Ovis aries: one gene and its partners. The protein of the gene in region 1 purifies or fractionates together with the protein of each later gene. This does not show direct contact. Links are inferred from orthologs where the notes say so. Each region holds a gene or a part of one and is shown in the gene's direction. Other genes may lie near its edges. The genes, in order: KIF24, CEP97 and CCP110.

Region 1 (3,652 bases):
TGTTTTTACCTCTATTCAACTAACTTCTACCAGTACTCAGTATATACAAATGTGATTTTCTCTGAATTATATTCATGATCCTCTGTGAGTCACTATTTAATTCTGCTTTCCATTTTGAAATAGTTCTTAGCCTTTGTTCGTTAATCATGGGAAACAGTTGTGCGACATGCCTTGACATTAACTTGAACATCTAAAATTAGTCCCGTAACAATCAGCAGTTGGGGAGAAGGTTTCAGTAGTTTGTGGTATATGTGAAGTAGACATTGCAAGACTGGAAGGAACTCCCTAGAATAAGTAAGTGATTTGTGTTATGTGTATGTGCATGTACCTGTGTGTGTACATAACTGAAAGTCTCTCTTTATTAAGCAAAGGACAGATTACTACAAATGCATTATAAGCATGTTTATATATTATGCTATTTAATCATTTTAAAAGAAAAATGTATTTATTGAAAACCTGGAATGCTGGGATGGATTTTGCTGCATATTTCTTTTGTGGGTTTCTTTTTTTTTTTTCAAGGAATAATTGTATTATATATACTATATTTCAAGTGAATGAATTTTTTTTTTTTCCTCTTCAGAGTTTATAGAAACAAACCTATTCACAAAAATGACATCCTGGTTGTATGAATGTCTTTGTGAAGCTGAACTAGCACAGTATTATCCTCATTTTACTGCCCTTGGCCTTCAGAAAATAGATGAATTAGCCAACGTTACAATGAAGGACTACTCCAAATTGGGAGTCCATGACATGAATGACCGCAAACGTCTCTTCCAACTTATCAAAATCATTAAGATTATGCAGGAAGAAGATAAAGCAGTCAGTAGCCCAGACTATCGTCTTCAGACAAGCAATCTGTGTGTCAAGCCTCAGAAATCCAGATCTGGCCCTCGAAGGCAACTGCATTTTGATTCTCCTGCTGACAACAAAGACAGAACTACCAGCAACAATCAGTTTGAACTGTGTGATTTATCAGATTTTTCTGCAAGTGAACAGAAGTCTAACTACATAAAAGTACTGGAGCACATGCTACCAGCTAATTCCCAGTACCATATACAAACAGGAATTCTGAATGCCACAGCCGCTGATTCCTGCATACAAAAAGAAGCTAAGACTTCATCCTTTTCATCTAATTACTTTTCTCCAGTACAGGGGGATTGTGATAGTTCAGTTATTCAAAGAATCTCTCATGTTTCAGGGTATAACTATGGAATCCCTCATTCCTATATCAGGTAATAACTTTTTATCTTTTTCTTTTTTCTGGAGGGAAAGGAGCCTTAGGCAAGGGCAGGGTTCTCCTTGAGCAGAGGAGACCAACTACTCCGTATTTACAGAAAATAATAGTGAACAGCTTCTGTGGTGATAATGCAGATACCTTGACTGGGGGAAATTGATGAAGAATTTGGACTTTCCAGATGGGAGAAAGATGATTGTTCATGTGCATTAAGCAGCTGCTACTTCCCAGGGTCAGCTGCAGACCTGTTTTTATTATAGCCTGACATGATATATATAGTGCATCCATGAAGGTAAAATAGTTAACTTTCCTCTGCAGTAGAAAAAAAAAATTACAAAATCCATAGGATTTTTTTTTTTTTAGATTGTCAAATTAACTTCAACCAGGGCTCATGAAGCTTAGTTTTAAAAAAACCACTGCTTAATTCAGCTAGTTGAATTAAATAGGTCTTTGGAGCAGTTGATTTACCTGCAAAATTTGAAATATGGTCCTGATTTTGAGTGCTTTTTACAATTCCAGCCCTGGAAGAACAGATGAGTTTGGTCATTGCAAATAGTAAGATACTTTTGATAGCATTTACAGTTTGGGAGCCAGAGTGACAATAAGTTATTTTCACTTAGTGGTGATGAGTTAGAATTTGAAAAAGGTCCCTAAGAGTTGAAATATCAAGTAATCCCTAATACTAACCTTGGTATAATAGAAAATACATTCTTTTAAAAATACTGTGTATTGCCTGTTTTGTTATTTTAAAAGTTACAGTTGGTGAGTTACGGAGAAACAAAATACATTCTTAAGCCACTTTAAAAAAAAAAAAGGGCTATTATTCATACCTTAAAACAGTATTTCCATATGGTCTTATATTGGCTAAGGTTTCAGAGGATTTCATAACCAACCAGTTCTTTTATTCTAAAAGAATAGAGGATCCAATTTTAAAGGTAAAAATGTCTTCAGTAATTTGAAATACATAAATGAATTCTATAGTTTTTCTGAAAATAAAATTTTTTTTGGCTTGGTTTAGCAAAGCACAGAGCATATAGTATTTTTTTCTTCTTTTAGTTGTGAAAGGACTGGATTGTTCTATGACCATCAATACCATGATTGTTGCTGTCCTGTTGGTTAGCTCAGCGGTGAAAGAGCAAATACTTTTTTGAATGTTAGTCTTTTATTGAACAACATATAAAAATCTAAATTGGAATTATTTATAAATAGAATGAAGATATGACTTTCCATTATTTATTTAGATAGAATGGATATTTTAGTTTAAATATTGCTGCTTTATTTATTTCACATATATAGAATACCCCCTCTGCCTGTCCTGATTCTAGATATAAAGATCATTAGACTATCTGGAGACTCTGAGACTCTTAGGGGGCAGGGTGAGTGGGAAGTCAGACAACCATAGAGTGAGCTAAGTGCTCTCACAGAGGTTTATACATGCCAGATGCAGGACGAAAGGTGTTCAATTGAGCTTTCTCACTGTTTGTATCATCTTACACTTTCCATTCCTTATTATATTAGAGAAATGGAGGTTAAGAAAGTTCATTGTCCCAATAATTCTCAATATTGTCTTCTCCCCTAAATTCTAAGTAGAAGCCAGAGTTTCAGAACCCTGAGAAACTCCCTCACCAACTTGAAGCTTCCTGTTAGTGAGTCATCCCTATCCGAAGAGCATTCTCTTTGGATACCTCAAATTAGGTAAGTTCAAAATAACTTATTGGACTCTGAATTTTAATGAAAGTAAGGCATTTAGAGGACTGGTTGCCCTGACTTATTTAAGATTGTGAACAGACCTAACTCTAGCTGTATTAACTTTGCATGTCAGACAGATATAGTTTATTTCTTCTAGGGAATATTGCACATTAAAACTAGAGCCTTAAAAAAAGAAGAAAGCTAGAACCTTTTTGGAGAAGGCAATGGCACCCCACTCCAGTACTCTTGCCTGGAACATCCCATGGACAGAGGAGCCTGGTAGGCTGCAGTCCATGGGGTCACTAAGAGTCGGGCACAACTGAGTGACTTCCCTTTCACTTTTCACTTTCATGCATTGGAGAAGGAAATGGCAGCCCACTCCAGTATTCTTGCCTGGAGAATCCCAGGGACAGAGGAGATTAGTGGGCTGCTGTCTGTGGGTCACACAGAGTCAGGCACGACTGAAGTGACTTAGCAGCTTAGCAGAACCTTTAGGATGCTTTAAAAGATGTGTTTTATTCTGAGAAATTCTCGGTGGCCCAGTGTTTAAGACTCTGTACTTTCACTGCTGGGCTTAGGTTCAGTCCTGGTTGGGGAACTAAGATCCTGCAAACCCCACAGAATGGTCCAAAAAAACCCCAAAAAAGTTTTTTTTTTTTTCTTATAAAAAATAAAACACATGCAAAAGAAGAGAAAATACAACAGTGAACCCCCACATGCCTGTCATTC
Region 2 (3,290 bases), on another chromosome or scaffold:
CAGTCCAGTGGTTAGAACTGCACGCTTCCACTGCAGGGCGTGTGTGTTTGATCCCTAGTCAGGGAACTAAGATCCCATAAGCTGTGTAGCGCGGCCAAAAGAAAGAAAAAGAAGTAAAGATCGTATTACTAAGAACTCCAGGAATTTTTAGGTATTTTAGAGTTGTGTATACTTCATTGTTAGGTTTTTTCCCTCTCTTTTTAAAATAATTAATTTTTGGCTGTGCTGGGTCTTCATTGCTGCAAGAGGGCTTTCTGAGGTTACAGGAAACGGGGGCTGCTCTTCATTGTGGTGCTCAGGCTTCTGTTGAGGTGGCTTCTCTTGTTGCAGAGCACAGGCTCTAGGCACACCAATTTCAGTAGTTGTGGCACATGGCCTCTGCGGTGTGTAGAATCTTCCCAGACCAAGGATTGAACCTGTGTTGCCGGCATGGGCTGGGGGATTCTTATCCACTGTACCACCAGGGGAAATCCTGCATTATTAGTTTTTAAAAACTCTTATCTGAAATGGGTATCTAGCATGAGACTCCCATTTTAGAGAATCTACTCTTATTAATAGGTTCTATTGTTTCTTGTTAAATAGACTTCAGTGTATTGAGAACCTCATTGACCCCTTTGTGAGCTGTATGTGCCTTATTGTGCTTCTGATTATCTTTCTAGTAGGAGCAAGTGAATTGCTTTGGCCCATCCCTGCTTTCCTGCTTTCCAACAACGTGAACCGCTTTTGCCAACCAGGTCTAAGCTGGGGGTGCTGTGGAAAGGATCAGGGGAGTCAGGACATTTCTAACTCCAGTTTTGCCATCTGCTGTTTACCAACTTCCTGAGTCTAGGGGGGAAAGAAACCTCAAAGGACAGTTGTAAAATAGGCGTGATTTATGTTTTGTAGTGAAACTGTATCCTTTGGTTTGCAGGTAAGGTCTCTACAAGCTTGGCAACAGACTGTGGACCAGCATCTAAGTTCCTGCCATATTGATGTTCCCCCTATATCAAGTACTCTGGTGCCATCTAAACCTCCTTTATTCAGCCAAAGTCAGGAGCCATCTTCTGATCAAAATTCTGATTGGTTCATTGCTCCTGATGAAGCTCCTCAAGAGAAATCCTTACCAGAATTTCCAGACTCTGGTTTTCATTCCTCCTTAACTGAACAAGTTCACTGTGTACAGGATTCTTTGGATTTTGAAAAAAGTTCCACAGAAGGTAGTGAAAGTTCCATAATGGGGAATTCCATTGACACTGTCAAGTATGGCAAAGAGTCAGACGTAGGGGATGTTAGTGAAGAACATGGTGAATGGAGTAAGGAAGGCTCAAACAGTGAGCAGGATAATAGTCTGCTTGAACAGTATCTAACTTCAGTTCAGCAGCTAGATGACGCTGATGAGAGGAGACACTTTGATGAAGGGACGGGAGATAGTAAGCTTCACCTACCTCGTTCCCCTGAAAAGTTAGATGTCGTATCTGATAGTGCGTCTGTAGATGTCGCTCAAGGCGTATCTCCCGCTTTGCCATATGAAGTCAGCCAGACACCAGAGAATTGTGAATTAAATGCAGAAGTACAAGGGCAGCAGTCAGAATGTGATTCTACATTTCAGGTATTGCACGTTGGTATTATTGTGTAGCATGTCTGGTTGCTTGAAAAGCAGAAGTCTATTTAATTTAAGAATATTTTCATGGCTTTTTTGGGGGGGAAGAAGAATATTTCTCCCAGTTTTGTTACTATTTTTTTTCCCCTGCAACCTAGGTACTGAGGTAAATCTTCCTTTTTGTTTTGTTAGCTTTTTATTTAGCTATAATGTATCAAACAATATTTATATTGAAAGCCACATGCACTTTATTAACAACTAAATTGCATCAACAGTGTTCCGATGTTTTGATGTATTCATTTCCTTTCAGAAATAAACTAGAATACCTTAAAGGAGATAGAAATTTTACCTTAAAGATGCAAATAAGAGAATTTTTAATTCTTCTGTATGTGAGAAAGTTAATTATGTAGTGAGGAATGCAATTTGGTACAGTAAATATAAATGACATATAGGATTGTGAACTATTGAAATTTGCCAGCCTCTTTGGAGTAAGAACATGTGTTTTTAAACCTTTTTCTTCCCTATTAATCCATGAAAGACTTCTTGTAAGCAAACAGGAAAAAAGGTAAGATGATAGGATTTTTCAGTGGGAATAATTAAGTTGTTTCATGGAAAACTTGAACGTTATGTATCAATTTTAACATATGAAGCAAAGTTGTCTGTCCAGAATTAAAGTGAAGCTCGTTTAAAGGGCAACACAAGAATATTTCTGTTAGGTATAGGCTCCATTCACTTGGGATAATATCCCACCAAACATTTATTATCTTTTCATTTAGTGATTTTTCACCCCATAGATAAGCATTCCCTGGTGGCTCAGTTGGTAAAGAATCCACCTGCAATGTGGGAGACCTGGGTTCGATCCCTGGGTCGGGATGATCCCCTGGAGGAGGGCATGGCAACCCACTCCAGTGTTCTTGCCTGGAGAATCCCCATGGACAGAGGAACCTGGCAGGCCACAGTCCATGGGGTCACAGAGTCAGACACGAGTGAGTGACTAAGCACATGCACAGATAAGAATTTATGTGCCAGTATGTTGCCAGAAATTAATGTACGCTTTCTTTGTTCCTGCTTTATATTTGCTTATATATTTCAGCAGAGGCCCATGGTCATTTACTTCATTCTTGACCTCACAGAAAAGAACATTTAAAATAATACCAGTGGTAGAATAGGAATGACATTTTTAATAAGGACTATTTTCCATCTAAATCTGAAAAAGTGCCACATTTGGAAGACAACTTAATGGTGGTAAAGAAAAAATAAACCTCATTTATTTCTTTATTCATTAAAAAGAGTATATATCTGTAACTCCAGGAAGAAATGATAATACTGTGTTTGAATGTTAATAAATGCATTTGCAAATCAAGGGTAATTTTTGGAAGCTTGAGATTCTAATCTTTGAGAATGTTCTAATATCATTGAACACACATATCTGACTTCCCCCCAGTCTGTGTGTGTACAATGATTTAAAACTATGGCAATAATTAAGTGTTCTTTAAATTTAGGTGCTAAATATGTATTCATTATTCAGTTACAGTCACTAGGTCCCCTTCTTTGAAGTTACATAAAATAAAAGCTGATCCTTCCAAGAGTAAAGTCAGGGATCACATTTTATACTATGTTGAGAGTTAGAAACATTTCCTCACTGTGGGTAAGATGTTCTTTTCTCAGTTTTTAAATATGTAGCACTCAGGTTGAGAAGAAATCCTGAGGT
Region 3 (4,313 bases), on another chromosome or scaffold:
CAATTCAATGAACATGAATCTGAGCAAACTCTGGGAGATGGTGAAGGACTGAGGATCCTGGTGTGCTGCAGTTCATGGGGCTGCAAAGAGTTGGGCATGATTCAAGGACTGAACAACAACAAAACAGTAGAGCAGGTATAATCAGATTGTAAAGCTGGAAGGGATTTCAGTAATGCCCTCATTTGATAGATGAAGAAGCTGAGGCCAGGAGAAGTGAAGTGAAATGAGCTGATAATGGCAGAGTCGGGACTAACATCATGCTACCCAGTTTTATGCCATGAAATTTCTACTGCTACTCCTCTTAACCTTACTTCTTCTCCTACTAAGGTCTAATGATGGGGGTTCTGTACAAGGAACTGCAAGAATTATCTCAAGTATTCCTTACAACTACTCTTGTGATAGGCACATTTAAATCTCTCATTTTATACACGAGAAAATTGGCATGGGAAAGAGGGTAAGAGAGGCAGAAAGTAAGGCCAGTTTAGGAAAGGGGCTAGCTGTTAAGTCATATTTTGAAAATGCCAACAAAAATTGGCAGTTGCCATTTGCCTCTGTAAGGGTTAAATTATTAGCCACTGCAGCCACTGACCTTCAACATATCCTGAAAGGAGTTCAGGGTGGAGATCAGGAATGAGGTACTTTGTCCTCTGGGAAAAATTGGGTATTTTCAGAAGATTTTATGAGCCCAATTCTTACATCTCCTCCTATCTAGAAAAGCACTAAAATCATTAATGGTGGTATCAGCTCCTCATGGCCAGCGGAAGCCTCTGGCAAAACGTGTGCTTGACTTCACATATCCCTTTCCGCTAAAATCGTACTGACCTCTCTTCCTGCCTCTCTGGGGGCAGTTTCTCAGAACTATCTGAATTGCTGTCTCCTGAGTAATAGTCCTCATTTTTGTCCCAAATAAAACTTAACCTACAACTCTTGTGGTATTTTTTTTTAAGTTGACAGAAAACTGGCAATATGTTTGGACAGAGAACTTTGGCAAAACATTCTGAGCTTTTCCTGCCATTCTTAACCTGCTGCCTTCGTTTCTTGGAGGTATTTTCCCTGTGATTTGCAAGAGTAGGCAAGTGTTGAAGCTTCAAGTTGTGGCATCTAGGATTCAATCATTTTTTTTTTTTAAGAGAGAAAAAAAATTTGGTGCCTACTGTATGTATTCCAACGATTGTACAGAAAGAAGTTATCTCTTTACAGATAAGTGAAAAATAGCAGCTTCAAGGAGCATTTCTCGAGGCTTCAGCTCCTAACGAAAGAAAATTTGAGAGCGGTCAGTGAGGACTACGCTTCCCGGCGTGCACCGCGCCTTCCGTAAGAACAACGCCTTCCATCGCTGGGCCGGGACGCGTAAACCAGGCGCGCACAGCAACTCGGGGATTGTAGTTTTCTGAAGGCCCAACCGGGCCAACGGACCCGGAAGCAGCCACCGGAAGTTCTGGCCCTAAGAGGTGGAGTCCGGAGGTGGGGGTGCGGCGGCGGCGGCGGCGGCGGCGGTGGCGGCGGCGGTTGCCAGGAGCCCGCGTTGCCGCCAGAGTACCGTAATATGGCGGGGAGGAGAAGGAGAAGGCGGCGGCGAACGGAGTTGTTTTCAGTCAGTACCAATTGAGCAGTTTGCTTCCTACCAAGGCCAGGAGCTAGGGGAGGAAACCTGCCGGGACCGTGGGAGAACAGGTGTGTGCCTAAGAGTGGGCTTGACTCAGCGGGTCTCGGCTGCGAGGCCGCAGGGCGGGCGGAATTGGCGCGCTGAGGAGCTGAAAGAAACCCGAGCGCAGGGGCTTCCGGACGTCGAGCCCCTGGAAAGACTCAGGCTGTGTGGAGGCGGGTGCCCCGGGGGCCTGCGGCATCGGTCGCGGAGGTGATGTTCAGATGCTGGCACCGCCTGGTGGGTCCTCGGGATGGAGCTTTATCAGAGGAGCTGGGGAAGGTGGACTTGGGGCGCTGGGGAGACGGCAGAGGGTCCCCAGTAAATAAAATCAGACCAAAACTGGGGAACCATCTCCTGTTGATAGAACTGGTTGGGCCATTTTTTTTTTTTTTTTCCTGGCAAGGGGAGCGTCCCAGGGTGTGCACTGGCCATTTCTGAATGCCAGTTATCACCAGCTAAAGGGCCTAGGCGCATTCTTCATCCTGCGTTTGTGACTCTCTGGGGGCGCAAGGAGAAGGATAAAAAAGCAAATTATCTTTATTGGCCCTCATGCTACTAGGTGGTTTCCACCCTTTGCTTCTACCTGGTTATAACCCCAGTTCCCTGCTCCCAATTTAAGCAATGGCAGGCACCTAGAGTTTGACTTAATGAACGCAGCAAAATGAGGAAGCTGAGGTCCCCCTTTCCACGTTTTTTTTAAAAAATTTTATTTAGTTTTTAATTGAAGGATAAATGCTTTACAGAATTTTGTTGTTTTCTGTCAAACCTCAACATGAATCAGCCATAGGTATACATATGTCCCCTCCCTCTTCAACCTCCACGTTTTTAAGTTAAATTTGAATCTTACCAGAAACTAAAGCACTGTCACTGGCCTCTAGGAATTCATAAACTAGTGGAAAAAATAGTCGTCATCATTCTCTTCCTAATGAAAGTTACTCCCATTCGTTGCTTTCTGCATGTCCTATTAATGAATCCACACAGAATCTCATCAAAGCAAATACTATGATTATACCTATTTTACAGGAAACGAGGGATAGATATGGTAAGTGAATTGCCAAGAACATTCAGCTCCTGTGTGCCTGAAAAAGAAAGCTTCCCCTTTTTTTTTTTGCCCCTTTGAAAAGACTGATGGGTAAACAAGTAGCTAGGATGTGTAAACAGGACATGTTCTGTGTTCTTTCGTGATTCCCTTCAGTGACTTTTCTGATGGAGCACTGAGGAGGAGCAGGTAGCAGAGTTGTGAGTCTATGGGGTTTGCAAAGAGGCTCATTTGGAGAAGGATCCTAGTTTAAGTGGAGAAGACAGGCCATGTCTGAACTTGATGCAGCCAACAAATTATTAATTCAAGTGGACCAGTAATACCTAGTGGTAAAGTATGGGGCAGTAGATTTGTGGTTGCAGTGGCCTTGTAATCAATGCTCCCTTAAAATAAAACCCTGTTAACAGAGGTAATTGTGGCATGAGAAATGGAGTTCCCTGTTGCTTAATTACATAGGATTCCGGCTCTCGATTTTTAAATGGTTGCCTTTGCAGTTTAGAGGTACCATTTTCTCTGGGAATAGTGTCATCAATGAAAGTCCTATTCTCTAAATTCCATTCTTCCTTGCTAGCTTCTTTGCAGTGTAGTCTACTGTCTTCTTTTTTCTGATTTACTTTATTATTTGAGCTAACTATTCTGTTTATTCAACATTTTTATGAAGTGCCTCCTGTGTACAGACTTTGTCCTATGTAATGGGGATTCAGTGGTGAGCAAGACTGAGAAGGTACCTGTGCTTATGGAGATTACATTTTGGTGGAGGAAGACAGACAAAACCCAAGGAAATAAGATAATTTCAGATAGGGGTAAGTGTTATGAAACTTGGGAAACAGCAGGATAGTGTGATAGTGAATGACACAGGGTTCATGCTATAGAGTCACTTGGTTATTTTCATAATCATGATATTATCATAGGCCATAAGTTATGCGGTAATAATAATATATTGCTGTATGTCTGCAGTGTGTATGGCAAACATATACTGTTTAAGGGATGTGAATTTAACTTTCTGAAGCAATGAGGCATATTTATATGATGTTGAAAGAAATATAAAGCTATTACCATAAAGATATTTTATTTCCTTAAATTTCCCAGACCTTCCATGCTTTGCTTGTGTATCCATTGGAAGTATATTACATTAATTGTATGAGTAATCTATTTTTGTTTCTTGTAATGCTGGATGTGTGGGTTGTGTTAAAAATTCTTTTGAAGCATTTTAGTAGAGAGGGGATCATTTAATTTTCTCTTATATCTTAGCTTCTGCCTATTCTAATTTTTAATATATAATGTGGGTTGAAGCCTAGACTAAATGAGGCCTGCTTTGGTTATCATGCAGTAAGCTGTTTTGTATTTTATTTTCTTGTTTTATGAATTTAAGTTTGCAAGATAATCTCATTTATACGCTAGAGAACCATTTCTTTGAAATTAAGTTCTCAATTTGCATAAATGAAAATAGAAATAATTAGAATTGGTGGGATGGTAGGAAGAAGTTTTGCTATTAATAAGACTACCAGAAAAAAAAAAAGGACTACCAGTTTGTCAAAAGTAGCAATAGATCTTATTTTCTCATAATGTAATCATAGTTTCATGTGTGATTTTCCTTCATTTCCATTTGTGCTATTGTTTGTCCTG

Evidence for each region.
Region 2: the proteins of KIF24 (region 1) and CEP97 purify together in Homo sapiens (co-immunoprecipitation; 4 studies listed by BioGRID and IntAct, with this or other methods). This does not show direct contact. The link is inferred for Ovis aries from reciprocal best matches to the Homo sapiens genes KIF24 and CEP97.
Region 3: the proteins of KIF24 (region 1) and CCP110 purify together in Homo sapiens (co-immunoprecipitation; 4 studies listed by BioGRID and IntAct, with this or other methods). This does not show direct contact. The link is inferred for Ovis aries from reciprocal best matches to the Homo sapiens genes KIF24 and CCP110.

What each region holds. Positions count from the first base shown.
Region 1 is NC_056055.1:37,231,407-37,235,058, forward strand, and holds part of KIF24 (kinesin-like protein KIF24), read left to right. Parts: intron 1-580; 5' UTR 581-609; coding exon 610-1,232; intron 1,233-2,821; coding exon 2,822-2,929; intron 2,930-3,652. UniProt on the Homo sapiens protein: Microtubule-dependent motor protein that acts as a negative regulator of ciliogenesis by mediating recruitment of CCP110 to mother centriole in cycling cells, leading to restrict nucleation of cilia at centrioles.
Region 2 is NC_056054.1:166,999,012-167,002,301, forward strand, and holds part of CEP97 (centrosomal protein of 97 kDa), read left to right. Parts: intron 1-910; coding exon 911-1,615; 3' UTR 1,616-3,290. UniProt on the Homo sapiens protein: Acts as a key negative regulator of ciliogenesis in collaboration with CCP110 by capping the mother centriole thereby preventing cilia formation. Required for recruitment of CCP110 to the centrosome.
Region 3 is NC_056077.1:17,602,413-17,606,725, forward strand, and holds the start of CCP110 (centriolar coiled-coil protein of 110 kDa), read left to right. Parts: upstream 1-1,446; 5' UTR 1,447-1,885; intron 1,886-3,348; 5' UTR 3,349-3,490; intron 3,491-4,313.